2 linked regions of the Lonchura striata genome follow. The protein of the gene in region 1 interacts with the protein of each later gene in a biochemical or structural test. Links are inferred from orthologs where the notes say so. Each region holds a gene or a part of one and is shown in the gene's direction. Other genes may lie near its edges.

Region 1 (6,985 bases):
ACCAACAAACCCTAACAACCAAAAAAATTCCCACCCAACACAATACACCAGGATTCAGTTCTGCCCACAGTTAAGGTGCCAAATCATGCGGCTGCTAGCCTGTCCTGCTGGAGCAGGCAGCGGCCGTGCAGGCAGGCGAGGAGTGGTGTGGGCAGGATGCTGGCTCCTGGTGCAGCGCACTCAGCCGGGGTGCGCGTCCTGCACCGCGCTGCGCTCGGGGACTGCCACACGCGCTTCTCTGCACAACACCCCTCTTCTAGTGCCGGGGCAAAAGAATGTTAAGAGATGCGTCTGAAGAACAAAAGTGTTTCAAAAAATAAAAAAAGCTTTTTCAGATACAGGTCTTCCATAAGAACCCTGACATACAAACACACAGAAGGGAAGAAGTTTCCAAAATTCCAGAAAAATCAGATGAGAAAACAGCGGGTTAACTCTTCCCTAGTCATTGGTCTGTACCTTAGCACCTTGGCAGACACTTTTTGCTTTGAAATAAGGAACACTGAGAAACATTCAGAAGATAATTTGTCAAAACACACTGGAACAAATGGATATCTGCTGAAGGAAATTGCTGGATGTTATTCATTTAACAGCAGAAAACAGCAGATACATTTTATTTGGGTTTTTCCCCCTTTAAAAAACCCCAAAACCAACCAAACAAAAAAAAAAAAACCCAAAAAAACCTCCCAGAAACTCAACCAAACAAAAAAAACACACAAAAACAACAACAGCAACAACAACAAAAAACTCCAACCCAAACAAAACCAGCAAAGAAAAACCTGATTAGGAGGGCATACTGGAAGGGTAATTTGCTCAACTCAGACATACTGACAGCCTCTAAATTTACTAGAAACATTCACAAACAAGACTGGGATGTACTTCTGCATAGCACTGTGCAAATATCTTCTTAATGAACAATGGCAACGAAAAAGCACTCACAAATTATGAAAATCCTATGATGTTGCTATACACAATCTTCTAGTATACTGTCATGTGAGTACCAAGTTCAGATACCATTTGGAACCTGTCAAAACATCACAGAAAACCTTTCTTAGGCAGAAAAGACGGAAAAAAGAGACAATAAATATCTTTAGGCATATGGAAGGAAGAAATTGAAAACTAAGATAGCTTAGTGCAAAGAATGCTATGGACATGATTAAACATAGTGGTAGTTTCCAAATCTTTACTGTTTTATGAGTAAGAATACCAAGGATGCAAGTATATCTTTTCTCCCTCTGACAGTCTCACTTTTAATTTCCTGTGGCAGTAAGCAACATCAAAACATCTCACAAGCAATGGGTTGCTATGAGCCATGCACTAGAGACTACTTGGATAGAGGAATATGAGATTAGTGCTACGGGAGGCTTATCAGGAAGTATCTGTCCAGGATTAGATAACAGCATGGATAGTATCTATGGATAATAATTACCTGCATACGCAATAAAGATTTCTGTTATTTACTGATAGTTGTTATTAGGATAAAATATTTATAAAGGATGTTTCACATTTCAAAACAAAAGCCAATCATTATGGAATTGAGGTCTGGAAAGAAATCTCCTCATAGGTTTATTATCATGTAATTATCCATAATGGGGTTCTTCTGACTTTCACTAAGTCATGAAGCAAATGAGTAAAACAGTGTATAATGACTATCTGTTGATGCCATATTCAGGACTAGATGGCTCATCCATTAAAAATATGAAGATATTTATTCTGTAAATATTTGAAATCCAGTTATATCAATAAAAGTGGTACATGCAGATTACAGTTATGGTCTGTGGCATGTCTTGTCTTATTAAAAATGCAAAATTAAATGCAGTTCTACATTTGAGGTATACACTGTGTTCATGCCTTTTATACTGAGCATATAAAACAGGTAAGAAAGTTTAGTCCAACTTCTTCTACTGTAGACAATTACAGTTTTTATTAGAACAGTGTGCCCTCAGTTTTGGAGAAGATATTGATTCAGTTTACCTAAAGATTGAAAACTCATTGACCTGTTCCTAATATTTTTTCAAGATGTGATTCCTGGAGATGATTGCTGTGGATTTGGGCACAATGTACAAAATATCCAACAAGAATTTCTTGTGAGCTTTACCATACTCACCTTCACTCTTTTGGACTCTGGCATTTAGAAGAAAAAACCCTGATATCTCAAAAACCCTGATAATTGTTTCCTTGAAGTAACCTCCCCCTCTTTTTCTGTTACTCGTTGTCTCTGTAATTCACTGCTGGCACTTTAGAAATCTAAATTGCATGTAATATTAATACATCTGGGACCAGTACACAATACAGGTGAATACATAGATACACTTCTATACCTACAGGTTTTAAAAGAGAGAATATGCTTTGAGTGAAATATAGTCTATTCTTAGTAGCTTAATCTACCCAATTTTGACTAAAAGTCATTGACTGGAATGAAGTAAAAAGATTCCAAGTTGTATAAATCATTTTTACACACTATTCATACCAGTACAATATAGATCTACATGAAAATCATGCAATTTTTAATAAGTAATTTTTTATGCTCTAAAAAATTGGTTGTATTATTTTCCTGGTTGTTTTTATTATCTTTATATGTTTATTTTTAATTCCCTCATTGTCTTGCTCTTTATAGCAGACCTTACTTAAATAATTTTATCAGTACATATGGAAGCTTTTAGGAAAGCGCATATAAATTTCGAAACAGATGTCAGCAGGTGCTGGTGAGGTTTCAGATATGGAGCTAAAAGAGTGATGTGCCTTTCTACCCACTATCTAGGCTAGGTACCAGATTCACAACCGATTTGGCAACATTCCTAGATACAAGTAGTTTAAAATGGAGGTGGCCAAAGGAAGTGCAGGTGTGGGAATTCTGTGAGGAGTTTATGAATTCACAAAAACTAGAAGGTGTATGAGTGCATTCTGCTCGATTGTATGCCATCACCCCGAGAGCTACCGAAAGCTACACGGGGATGCTTTCCAGAAATCGGGCCTAAGGCAGGGGCCGGGGCGAGGAGCGAATAGAACTCACCGCAGCCGAGTATCGGCCACGCCGGTGGCGTTCCGTGGGGTGTCCCAGCGCGTTCGTGCCGAACGCACGGCTTTGCCTTCCCAGCAAGAAGTCAGGGCGCTAAACCTTCCGGGTGCCTGACGGTGTGCGCGTATCCCGCTCTGCCTTCCCATTCCGGCCAAAGGTGGAAAAGGCATTTTCGGCTCCTTACTCCTTCCTTCCTTTCAGCCGGCCACATTTTCCGCCAGACCCTGCCAACCCAATTCATCTCTTCTAGGATGGGAACCGAATAAAAATGTGTGCCCACGTCTAAAAACAAAGGAAGCGAAAGCAAACAAGGCGTTAGGGAAAGCGCTGCCCGTCAGGACAAGCCGGAGCAGGCACAGCTCCTCGCAGCCATTTGGAGTGGGAATCCGTTCGGTCTCTTCCCGCACTCCTCCTCCGCCCTCGGCCGCCGCAGGGCGGGCGGCGCGGCCCTGGGGGCGGCACAGCGCGGGCGGGGATCGGCCGCCCCGGCCGCTCGCCCCCGCCGCGCGGCGGGGCGGAGAGAGAGCGGGAGCGGCGGCGGGAGCCGCGCCGCCATATTCCTGCCGCACCACGCCCGCGGAGCCCGACCATTTAAAAGCCGGTCGGGCTCGACCCCTGCTAGTGCACTCGTTTCCCTTTCCGTTGCTCTGTCGGCAACGCGAGCAGGGCCGAACCGAGCGGAGCCGAACAGCGGCAGCTCTCCGACAGCGAGCTCCGCTTTCCCTCACCACCACCACGCCCGCCTCCTTCTTGGAAGGGCGAGCGGCCGAGGCGGCGGGAAGGAGGAGCGGCCGCGGGAAAGCTCTTCCTGCCGGGTAGCGGCGATCTCGCCACCCCGCAGGAGCCGGGCTCCCGCTCTGGGGGCGGGGAGCGGCGGAGAGATGTGTGCGTGTGCGGGGCGGGGGAGGGATTAGTGGGCATTAACGCTTCCACGGGGGTGGGGTGGTCGCGTCGGAGGGCGGCGGGGGTGTCGGCGGCCGCCAGGGACACTCGGGGACCGCGCAGGCTGCGGGCGGCGGCGAGGGAAGGGAAGCAGCGGGACGAGGGACGGCTCGCCTGGGTAGCGCTGCTGCTGCCGCCGCGGTGGATGTTTCCATGTTGTTCGGTGCATGATTTAGAGGAGAGGAGGAGTTGGCAGCGGCGGGTGTCAGCGGCAGGGAGCGGGGATCCGCGCCGCCAGCGGCCCTGCCTTTCTTCTTGCCCTTCTGTGGCATCGAGGCTGCTCTGCCTGCGCGCCTGCCCTGCGGCGGCCCCCGGGCTCTCGGAGAGCGCCTGTGCCCCCCGGGGCCGGAGCGGCGGCGGGGTGCGTGTGTGCGAGTGTGCGTGCGGGTTTAGGGGGGGTGGGGGCTGTGTCTGAACCAGTTAGGAAGAATGACTCTGGAGTCCATCATGGCGTGCTGCCTGAGCGAGGAAGCCAAGGAAGCCCGGCGGATCAACGACGAGATCGAGAGGCAGCTGCGTCGGGACAAGCGGGACGCCCGCCGCGAGCTGAAGCTGCTGCTGCTGGGTGAGTGCGGGGCTTCCTCCTCCCGCCTGGAGCCGCTCGCCTCGGGCCGCTCGCCTCGGACCGCGCACGCCCCAGGTGCCGCCGGCCGCTGCCCGGGCATCGCCGCCGGCGCGGTCCGTGCCGGCGCAGGTATCCGGCGGCGGGCACGGGCGGCGGCAGTGCCTGCGCTGCCGCGGGCGCTCGGCGCTGCCGCGGGCGCTCGGCGCTGCCGCGGGCGCTCGGCGCCCCCGCCGCGGGGAGCCGCAGGCCGAGCTCCGCCGCGGGGAACGGGGCGTGTGTGCCCGCCTGCGGGCATCGCCGGCGGGGGCGTTCGGTGTGAAACGGGAAGCGGCCTTCCAAAATGGAGAGGGAATGGATGGCGGGTGAGTGAGCGGGCTGCGGGGAGAGGGGCAAATGTCGATGTGTGTGGGAGAGCGATGGTAGCGAAGCGGATTAAGGAAAGGATTCCCAGGGGGAGTCGCTGTGCAGGTCGATGGTGGCGGGTGTGATATCTGCATTGTTCCGTGGGCTTCGGCAAGGTTGTTAGCTCACCGGTTGCATTTCTCATTGTGATTTTTATTTATTGAGGTAAAGTTGGATAAGGGGCTTGGGGTCAGCTTGCATACCGGTTTCTACAAAGGGAAGGGAGCCGCAAAGGCCCAGATGCACATGGCAAGCTGAGGGGTAACCTGAAGTGTGCTGGATGATTACAGGATCTTTAATACCCTTGGCATCCACCCACTGGTCAGGGAATAAAATCAACTGTATCGTTTCTCCTTAATTAAAGCAGAGGTTGCTATTTTAGAGTTGCAGAATATTTTAGAAATATGCAGAGGTGGCATTTATCTAATAGAAATTTGGCTTATGTTAAAATAAGGCTTTCGAATTAAAATCTGCTTGACTGTGTCCAGTCTGATGCACTGTGTCGCGTAGCTCCGTGGTAATAGTTCCTGCCTGGACTCAGGCCTTTATGTATTTTTGTGCTACTCTCTGATGTGTGAATGAGTGAGTATGTTCCAAATGGATGTGGGATGTTTACAGGGAAGATGTTTTTCTTGGGCCATGTATATGGAAGTAGTGGTTTATACTGAGGAAGTAAAGTGCCTATTCAATAAGGTAAGGCAAGTTGGAAGGAAAAGTTTGAATTCGTTTTAGTGCTTCCATATGAATATGCTATTTCTTGAAGGTTATTTCCTTGTAGACAAGGTTGGGATCTCTAACGGATCTGGGAGAGAAGTAGTGACATGGATGCAGCACTCAACAATAATAATGTTCTTTTGGATTTTTGACTGATTTTGGTTTATGGCAGTGTGATCTCTGAGATGCACAAAGAAGATAAAATAGACTGCCCTTGCTTAATATTATGGATGTCTAAGTATGATTAATGATAGACACTTGCTTCGGGAGAGGCAGTTCATACATTTGACATGTTATTCAGGTCCAGATTTTTTCTGTATGTTCTCGGTATCTCTTACAGTAGTGCTAGAAGCTTCTCCCAGATTTTCAGAAATGTATGAAATTCACTGAATGAGACCAATATATATTACCTAGAGAAGAAATTTTTCCTAGAGAAGAGATTCTGCAGTTAGGAACACGGAACTTGAGCTGCTTTGCAAGGTCCTCCCACCACTAACATGAAGTATTGAGGTAGATGGTGGTAGACTGGAGTCCAGTTATGGCATCACTTTGGACCAGATAATGTGTGGTGATTTGAAGAAGAACAGGAGAGAAACCAACCCATAGAAAAGATTAGGAAAAACTCTTGAGTTCATCAATGCCAGCTAAGACTTCCAGCAGGCTTGTGAAAGTGGAGGCATGATGTAGAGATCTGGAGGTGTGAACTTTTGGCTGCATGTATTTAAGAGCACATCCATACACCTGGTTAATAAAACCAGTACAGAAATTGTTACTGTGCATGCATTTTTTCTGACTAATGTTTTCTCAGCCTCTGTCATATATTTGACTGAAAGAAATAGTATGCGCACATTTGGATTAACATAATGATCTTGTCTTGAGAAATGCAGTGTGTAGTGAAAGACTCTTGGTGTCTTGGTATTTTGTAGACTTAAGTTTCAATTTCTAAAAGAAATTTATGGGAACTTCTTTCATAAGTGGATTTATCTTAAGTACCTTAGAACACTTTTTTTTTAGCCACTTTCATTGTTTCCCTAGCATAAGTAAATGCTCAGTTATTTGTAAAACGAATGCTAAGTTGTTTGTATGGGTCATTTACATGGTTATGAGACAGAGGAAACCATTTTCGAATGAAATATTCATCAAAAATAGTGAGGCTGGTAGCAGGAAAACGATCTGATTTAAAATAATCTGATTTTTTTAATATTAAATAAATGTTTACTGTCCCATTTCATCTCTTTCCCCCTCAGCTTTGGGGAGAAAATCACTTGTGCTGGTTTTTTTAATGTAAACATAAGTGAACATCTTTGGTTTTTTTTCTTTTTTTTTTTTTTTCTTTTCTGGAAGTG
Region 2 (7,882 bases), on another chromosome or scaffold:
GCCCATTTGATATTTTTGTCTTTTAGTTCACGTCACAGCTCAGCTTGGATGTAAATTAAAGCAGGTGAGAGCCTGCTTTTGGGAGGCTTTTAATCTGCCTATGCAGCTGGGACAAAAGTTAAGAGCTGGAAGAGAACAAAAAAAGGCAAAGGTGCACATGTTACTGGAATAGACAAATGCACAGCTTTGAAGTCAATGGACCTTTGGCAGTTTACTCCACCTGTGATTTAATAAACCTGGTAGGCCATGAAATATTTCATAATTAACTTTAACATTCTTAAATGTGTTGTATGTTTTATGGACTGGTTTTAACAACCTGTAAAAAAAACCAAAACGTATTATGCTGTAAATTGAACAAGGAAGCAAGAACAGATTATAATACCTAAAAGGTGAATTAACACTTGCTAGGGAATGCATTATCTGACTTCTTTAACTTGCCATTTTAACTGTTGCAAGAATAGCAATTTTGGGTTCTTCTAGTAATAGTTTGGGGATTTTTCAGGAGATGTTAAGTAGGCAAAGAGTGTCAGGGCTTGCTGGGGGACATGGAGAGGGGCCCATGGGATGGAGCAGCATCAGGGAAGGGCCTCTCAAACCAGGGCCCATCCCCAGTGAAAGAGCAGGGTAAGACGTCTCAGTTGGGTGAGGAATTCTGCTAGCAGCATCTTCTGTCCAAACAACTAGGGTCCATTCTTTTTCACACAGTGTGTTTTCTGGAGGATTGTGGACTGTTTCTGGTGATGTGGAGTTCCACAGGTGCCAGCTGTGCATCAGATCAAAATCCATCCAAAATAAAACATGGTCCCCATGAATGTAGCAGTGACCCAGCCACTTCATTTACACAAAGATACTGTTTGTGTCATAATTTCCATCACTGTGCATTAATATTTATTCTCCCAGTATTTTAAAGATACTTGTGATTCTGATGTGAGGGAAAAATTAAGATGATTTCAACAGGAAATGGATTTTTGTACAAGATTCCCCTCCCCTTCCAATTTCAGTGTAGCAGCTGCTGTTGCCAGGCTGTCTTTGTTGCTATGGTGGTGGTTTGTGTGCCAGAATTTTATATTCACTCTTGCAGAGTCACCTGATTGAGTGGCTGTGCCACAGAAGTTATCAGGCTCACTGGTGAAGATAAAGGCTGTATCTGACTGCTGTTCTGTATGTATGGCATCTTGTGAAGGGAGCAGATGAAACATAAACAGATTCCAGTGGCCTCTGGCCATCAGCTTATGGAAGAATTAGCAGATGATCTCTCTCAGTAAATGAGTGACTTCTGCATTTGGAAGGTGGCATTTCTTAGCACACAAAGCAGCTTCCCCACACCTTGTGGCACTTGTCTCAGTCAGGTATGAGCTTTGCTGTCTGCATGACGTGAAAGTAGCATTTTAGCAGAAGCACTGAGCATTAATCAGAGAGAGTGCCACATTTTCTGTATTTCTTTTCCAGAGTTGTTCCATAGAACTTAATTATCCTGCTCCCACTGATAATTAGAGTATAATTTGACCCAATTTAAAATGCAGTAAGGATGATAAACTCAGCTTCACCAGAAGTAAAGCTTTAATCCCAAATCCTGCAAATACTTATGTTTAACTCTTAGTGCACCATTGCAAGGAAGCATTTGCAAGGCTGAGGTCCCTGCTTCTCTTCAAAATCCAGAATTGCACCAATAAACTCAGAATAGCAAGTGAAATAGAGATTTAATATATTATTTCTCTGAACCCAAATTTAAAACAGTAAATTTAGGTTTTAGTGCATTTCTCATATCACTTCACAGAGTCTGTGTAGTTTTTGCGTGTCTTCATTTGACTTTGGTCAAAGCCATCTGTTATTTAAATTAGTTTTCGCTCCTTTCCTGATTTGTTTACACACATCCAGATGTGTATCTAAAACATTGTGTATTCAGTTATTCCTCTGGAAATGAAATATTGGTACCTAAGCCCCTTATATAAAAAATAATGCTTTATTGGGTATATTGCATTTGAACAATTTGTATTATCTATGTAAGGCAATCACTTTACTGTCTAGGCTGAGATTTTTGAGCCTAGAGAAATGAAAGTATCCTGAAATAGTTCTTGCAGCAACATGAGACCAGCCAGGTATTACATCTGATTTGTATGATTTGGAATAACCACTCGAATAAGCCTATTGCTGGCTGGGTTTTTTTTTCTAACACCACATCTTTCCTTCACTCTTAGAACTGGAAGGGGCTGAGTGAAGAAGAAATAGAAAATAAGTGTGTAGATGTCTTAACTGAAGCTTTGAAGAAAGGCACCTGGTTTTTCTTTTACAAGGCTTAGGCCAATCATTTAAGGACAAAGTCTTTGTACTCTTTCTGGGTGTAACAATCCTGCTGAGTAGAGCTGGTTTCCAGGTCTCTGATCCCAAGCTTGGTGGGAAAGGATCTAGATAGAGACACCCAAATTGTGTTTGCAGTATGTACTAGGTACCAAGTAATGTGCTCCTTGCTGCAGCAGATGCCAGTGAAGCAATAGCAGTAACACATGAGCTAGCTATCTGGGTTGAAACTAAAATTCCCACTGATTTCACAGAGCCCTGGATTTCAGCACAGGCTGAATCACAAGCACTTTCCAGAGCTGTAGTTTAAAAGGCCCAGGCATAATGTCATTTCCTTTTGTGCTGCTTCTTCCTCTTGAGGGAAAATTCATTAGATACCTGCCATATGAAAGGTGTGTTTCTCTTCAGACAAATACTATCAGATTAAAATACGCAAGTCTGAAAAACCACAGAATTGCTCCAGACAAAACTTTGTCTCTGTAATGAAGTTACAGAAGGCACCAGTATTAGAGCCTATCCTTATCCATAGGCACACTTCTTCCATGTTCAGGTCCATGGTTGCTGGGAGCCTATGGCTTCATCATGAATCCTGAGCTATCATAAATTGTGATTTGTTTTTCCCTAACAAAGACTGTAAATGAGTCTAGGTCAAATAAAAGTGGATTTGTGGGTTTGTTGAGAACTGCCACAGAAGTGCCACTATTCCTGGCAGGTTTACATCTTCCCAAGTTCTGATTTCAGTAGACTACTGGGAATGCAAGAGTTAAAGGATCACAAGTAAGTACTGTAGCACCAGTATTCTATGCTCTTATTTTCTGTGGGTTTTAGTAGTATTTTCATTCTTTTGTATATGCAATATGAAATGAGATGAAAAGGCCGTTGTGCAAATAGCCCTGAAAATCTCTCCCTTTTCCCCCGCATGGAGCAACCCCATCCGTCAGTGCAGTCAAAGGCAGAATTGGTTATTGTTGCTTTAAGTCATGGCAAATGGCTGGGAATTACAGCACAGCAGGGAGAGAGCAGGCTCTCATCCTGACTGATGTGGCACCCATGTTTGCAGGGAAGGTTAATAAGAACAAAAAATAGATCCAGTGGATTAATTGGCCTTGAAATGTGTCCGCTGTGTGCACAGGCTATGGTGAAAGAGCAGATTCACCTCTCACTAAAGGCAATCAAAAGTCTTTCATTGAAGGGGAAGAATCTGGAAAAGGCCCAGAGGAAAAGCTTTAGCAACTCTTTATAGTAAGAGCAAATCAGCAGTCCAATATGCCAGTTTTGTAGGTTTTTAATTAAAAAAAAAAAAACAAACAAACCCAGAACCAACATCTCCAGACTCAAATTTAAGAAAAAATACTTGGTACTAGTTTGAAATATAATTCCTCCAAACTAAGTTAAAAATACATACAAATACATTTTTTTCTGTGTCATTTGCTTTGTCTGTAGCAGAAATTTGGCCTGCTGCCCCTAAATCCCAAGGGTCACTTGGAAACCCCTACAGAGAAATTAGAAATCTCATATGCTGTGTCATCTGATGCTTTATCTCTGCACAGGGGCTCTAACAGAGAGGTCATTTTGTGGAGCACTTTGTTCTTTAAAAATATTTTCCTTTAAAACCTCTGGAGTTAGAATTTTTCTGGGTGAGAGGATGTTTTGCCATCCTTATGCCTTCTGAGCTGAGTATACCTAAAACTGAATTAAGGTCACATTCCTTTGTTCTGAGGAAGCCTCTCCATGTGATGAGATCAAAAAGCTGTGGTAAAGCAGTTTCTGTGTATTTAAAGCATGAAGCTTTGGGAATTGTTTGTGCCACTCTTTCAATTAAAAGTTGTTCCTCTTTTGGCATCACTATGCAGGCTCAGTCAGCGCTGTCCCTCTGCTTTTGCCAAAACTATTCCCTCAAAACTAAAAGATAAAAAGTTTCACTCAAGAGGAGGGAGAACTGCGTTGAAGGTGGCAGAGCACTGGGTGGAATCCCCCTCTCCGGAGACATCTCCCAAAGCCACCTGGGCACATTCCTGTGTCACCTGCCTCAGGTGCCCCTGCCTTGGAAGGGATGCTGGGCTGGGTGATCTCCAGAGGTCCCTTCCAACGCCAACCATTGTGAAATTCCCGGTGCGGAAATTTAGCGGCCCGCGGGAGCGCTCCTGGCCGCATCTCTCAGTGGGACGAGACGCACGGACACTCACCCTCGCTCCCTTGCAGAGCGTTTCGGAGCCCCACGCGTGCTTCCCGCGGAAGGAGGCGGATCTCCCGTTCCCAGCGTTTCCTGCCGTCCTCCTGGCTGCCGGAGGAGCCGCGGCGGGGCCGCGCCTCCGCTCGGCGGAAGGCGGCCGGGAGGTGGCGCCGCGGCGCCGCCGGCGCTGCCCTGGGCGCGGGGGAACCTCGGGGGCCGAGCCTGGCGGGGCGGGAGGAGGAGCGGAGGGAGGGAGCGGAGCGGGCAGCGCCGCGGCTCCGTGCCCTGCGTGCGTGCGTGTGTGTGAGAGGAGCGGGCGGGCCGGCGGTATATAGAGGATGTGCCGCCGCATGGCTCGCCCCGGCCGCTGCCGCGCCAGCTCCTTGGGCCAGCGCCAGTGAAGCCTCTCGCCCTCGCCGCCCGGGCAGCCGCCTCCCTGCCCGCTCCCGGCGCCTCTGCCGGCCTCTCTGCCGGGTTTCCGGCGCCCCGGCGTCCCTCCTGCAGCGGCCGCTTCCCGCGGCTCCTCCGCGCCGGGGCAGAGCGAGCGCGTCCATGCGGTGCAGATGGCCGGGGCACAGCCAGGGGTGCACGCTCTGCAGCTCAAGCCCGTCTGCGTCTCCGAAACCCTCAAGAAAGGCGTCAAATTCGTCAAGTGGGACGATGTGAGTAGCCCCCGCTCCCCCCGGCAGGGGCACGGCGGGGTTGCGGGGCGATCGGGCGGGAGGGCTGTGGGCCCTGTCCCGCCGGGCGCGGAGGGCAGGTGCGGGGCGGCCGCAGCGGTGGCCCCGCCGGGTGCTGCCGGGCCGAGCGGCGGCGTTGGGCCGGCGGCCGAATGCCGGGCAAACTTTCCGAGGTCTCTCCTGTCGAGTTGCGCTTGGCCGGTGCGGGCTGTGTTGGGCTGGCTCCTTTCGCCAGCGTCTTCCTCTCCCGCCTCCCGCGTTTCGGTGTGCGTGTTGCCGCCTCTGTCTTCCTAATGTAGTTGTTTCAACCTGTTCTCTCGTTCCATCTCCCGTCTCCTCCTCTCAGCCTCGCCTTTTCCTTCTGGCGCCTGCTTCTCTCGCTGTCTCTCTTGTTCTGGTGGAGTTGTCAAGCCCTAATGTGTTCTCCCAGTTTTGGGTACCCTCGGTCGCTTTACTTCCTCTGCAGAAGACACTCTTCTTTCTTGGCTCATTAGGGCATGAGACTTGCCACACCATCGTATCTGTTTTCCCTTTACTGCTTGCTGTTTCCCAACCCTTTACGTTTGTATAGCCTCATATAGGAAAGGAGTGCAGTTTCCACCTCACCTTTGGCTGGGCAGCTGGGATTTCTTCCTTGGCATGCTGGCTATGCCCGGGACACTTTCAGAGCAAAGGAGAGCTAAACGTCAGAGTTGCCTTTTTCTAAGCCTGCAGAGAAAGAGAGCAGGACGAGTCCTCTGCTTGCTTTTGCTCTGGCAGTCCCACGCTGGCTGTATGTGTCTCAGTTGTGCGCGGAGGAGCAGGTGCCCCAGAAACTCTGTGGACGGTGTCTGGGGGCACAGAGGCATCGTGAGACTCGAGCTGAGGTAGAGAAATGGTTGGGAGAGAAGACATGCAGTCTGAATGTCAGGAGAATTGTTGAGAATGAGTTTGTTCTCAGAGCTCTTGCGTGTTTGCTGTGATCTTGGCTGTGCTAAAGACATCCACAGCAACAACTGGAGGGACAGCAGTGAGGGAGGAGCAGTTCATCTGTAACCACTGTTCTTGGCTTGTGTCTTGTTCTTTTGCCGTTTCTTTCAGCCTGTCCAGCAGCCAAATAGTGTGAGTCTGACCCCTGTAAGCCTGTGACAAACACTCTTAAGGAGAAAGAGAAATCAGAAACCAAACAACTTGTGAAGTTTTATTTACAGTAATAAGCTAACACATTTTTAAAAGGCTCGGCAAACTGACCTTGTCCGCAATACCAAACAGTGGCTTGATATAGGTTCTGTATGTTCAGGAACTATGCTTGAACCAGAAAACATTTTCTTTTGGTTAACGTTTTCCTTAGGGTAGGAAAAGGCAGCCTTGTCATTGCAGTTATTGTTTTATTTTTGGTAAGCTACCAAGAAACTTTTGCGTGTGTATGCAGAGGTCAGGTTAACGATGATTTGAGTCTCCAGACTGAAACTCCAAGCCATCAGGTAACAGTTTAAATTATTAGAGTGCTATTTCCCAAATAATAGTTGCGTAGATAGAATTGAAAAATTAAGAGGCGCATCCATGCGCAGTGGATGTTCACCCGATAACCTGCCTGCTACAGGCTAGTTGATAGAAAGATTTAAAATTGTAAACCTGAAGGCTGCACTAATAAAACATGGCTAAATTCTGGAGAAAGATCTGTGTTTTGTGTTAAAGGTGTTACTCAGCAGTCCACAGGTGTTACCTGGAATATGTGACTGAGTTGAGTCCTGTTGTGCCTAGTGATTGCTTTCATTGTCAGCCTTGTGAAAGTTGATGCCCATTTAGCCACACTGTGATTAAGAATTCTAGCATTAGCTCATTGACTGTGCATTGTGTGTATATATCTGCATGTTTCCCACCCCTCAGCCCTCCTGTCTTGCCTGTAGTTTCTCAGCAGTGGAAGCCCCACAGAATCCAAGGTTTCAAGGGAAGGGAGTTTCCTCTGCCACTCTGGCTCATACACTGATGTTTGTTAAGCATCGTTTCTTTTCACTGTGTGAGAGTGGGAGTTCAGTTCTTCCACATCCCCTGTGCACTGGGACAGCTTCTATCCTCTCCTTGTTCTCTTCCCTGCTGTTTTGGGTTGCAGTTTAAAGATGGCCCTACTGACTTTGCTTTGCGTTTTATGAAGCAGAAGTGGTTGTTGTGAATTCTTACTACTCATACCAAGTTTCAGCCCAAAGCAAAATTTTTCTAGCTGAGCTTTAAACTAATGGGAATGCTGGAAGCATTTAAACAAGAGCGTGAGAGGCGTTGAAGGAATTCTGTATTGTGTGGAGTAGCATTACAGAAAGTGTTTGCCAGCTTTGAGAAGGACACTGTGGCAAGCTGTGCAAGCTGTTGTCTGACAAAACCTGTGGTGGTACAGACTTGGAAACCAGTCCATGTATGGACCTCCCATCCTGAGCCTCTCATAGCTCTGTGCCTGGTCAGTAACTGAGGTGCTGCTAGCAGATGTGGTACTGACAATTCTCATGAACCCCCTCTGAGGAACAGCACTGAAATCTGCTACGTGTGACCCATGAGCCTCATCCAGTACCTGCTGCCCCTGCCCTGTGGGGATGGTCCAGCTGGAAAGGGAAATGCTGTGCCTGAGCTTGGTGAAGTGCAGAGGAGGAGGTCACATCAGCCGTTCCAGATCACAGATAGGTGGAAGGCTTGGAATTCTATTTCCTCTGCAGACCATCTTCAGTTTATAAATTAAAAAAGCATTAGGATCAATTAAAAA

The links. The genes of interacting proteins can lie anywhere in the genome.
Region 2: the proteins of guanine nucleotide-binding protein G(q) subunit alpha (region 1) and PLCB1 form a complex in vitro, tested with the Homo sapiens proteins (2 studies listed by BioGRID, with this or other methods). The link is inferred for Lonchura striata from reciprocal best matches to the Homo sapiens genes GNAQ and PLCB1.

Annotation. Positions count from the first base shown.
Region 1 is NC_134642.1:24,302,954-24,309,938, reverse strand, and holds the start of guanine nucleotide-binding protein G(q) subunit alpha, read left to right. Parts: upstream 1-3,972; 5' UTR 3,973-4,387; coding exon 4,388-4,523; intron 4,524-6,985.
Region 2 is NC_134605.1:24,282,012-24,289,893, reverse strand, and holds the start of PLCB1 (1-phosphatidylinositol 4,5-bisphosphate phosphodiesterase beta-1), read left to right. Parts: upstream 1-4,878; 5' UTR 4,879-5,034; coding exon 5,035-5,133; intron 5,134-7,882.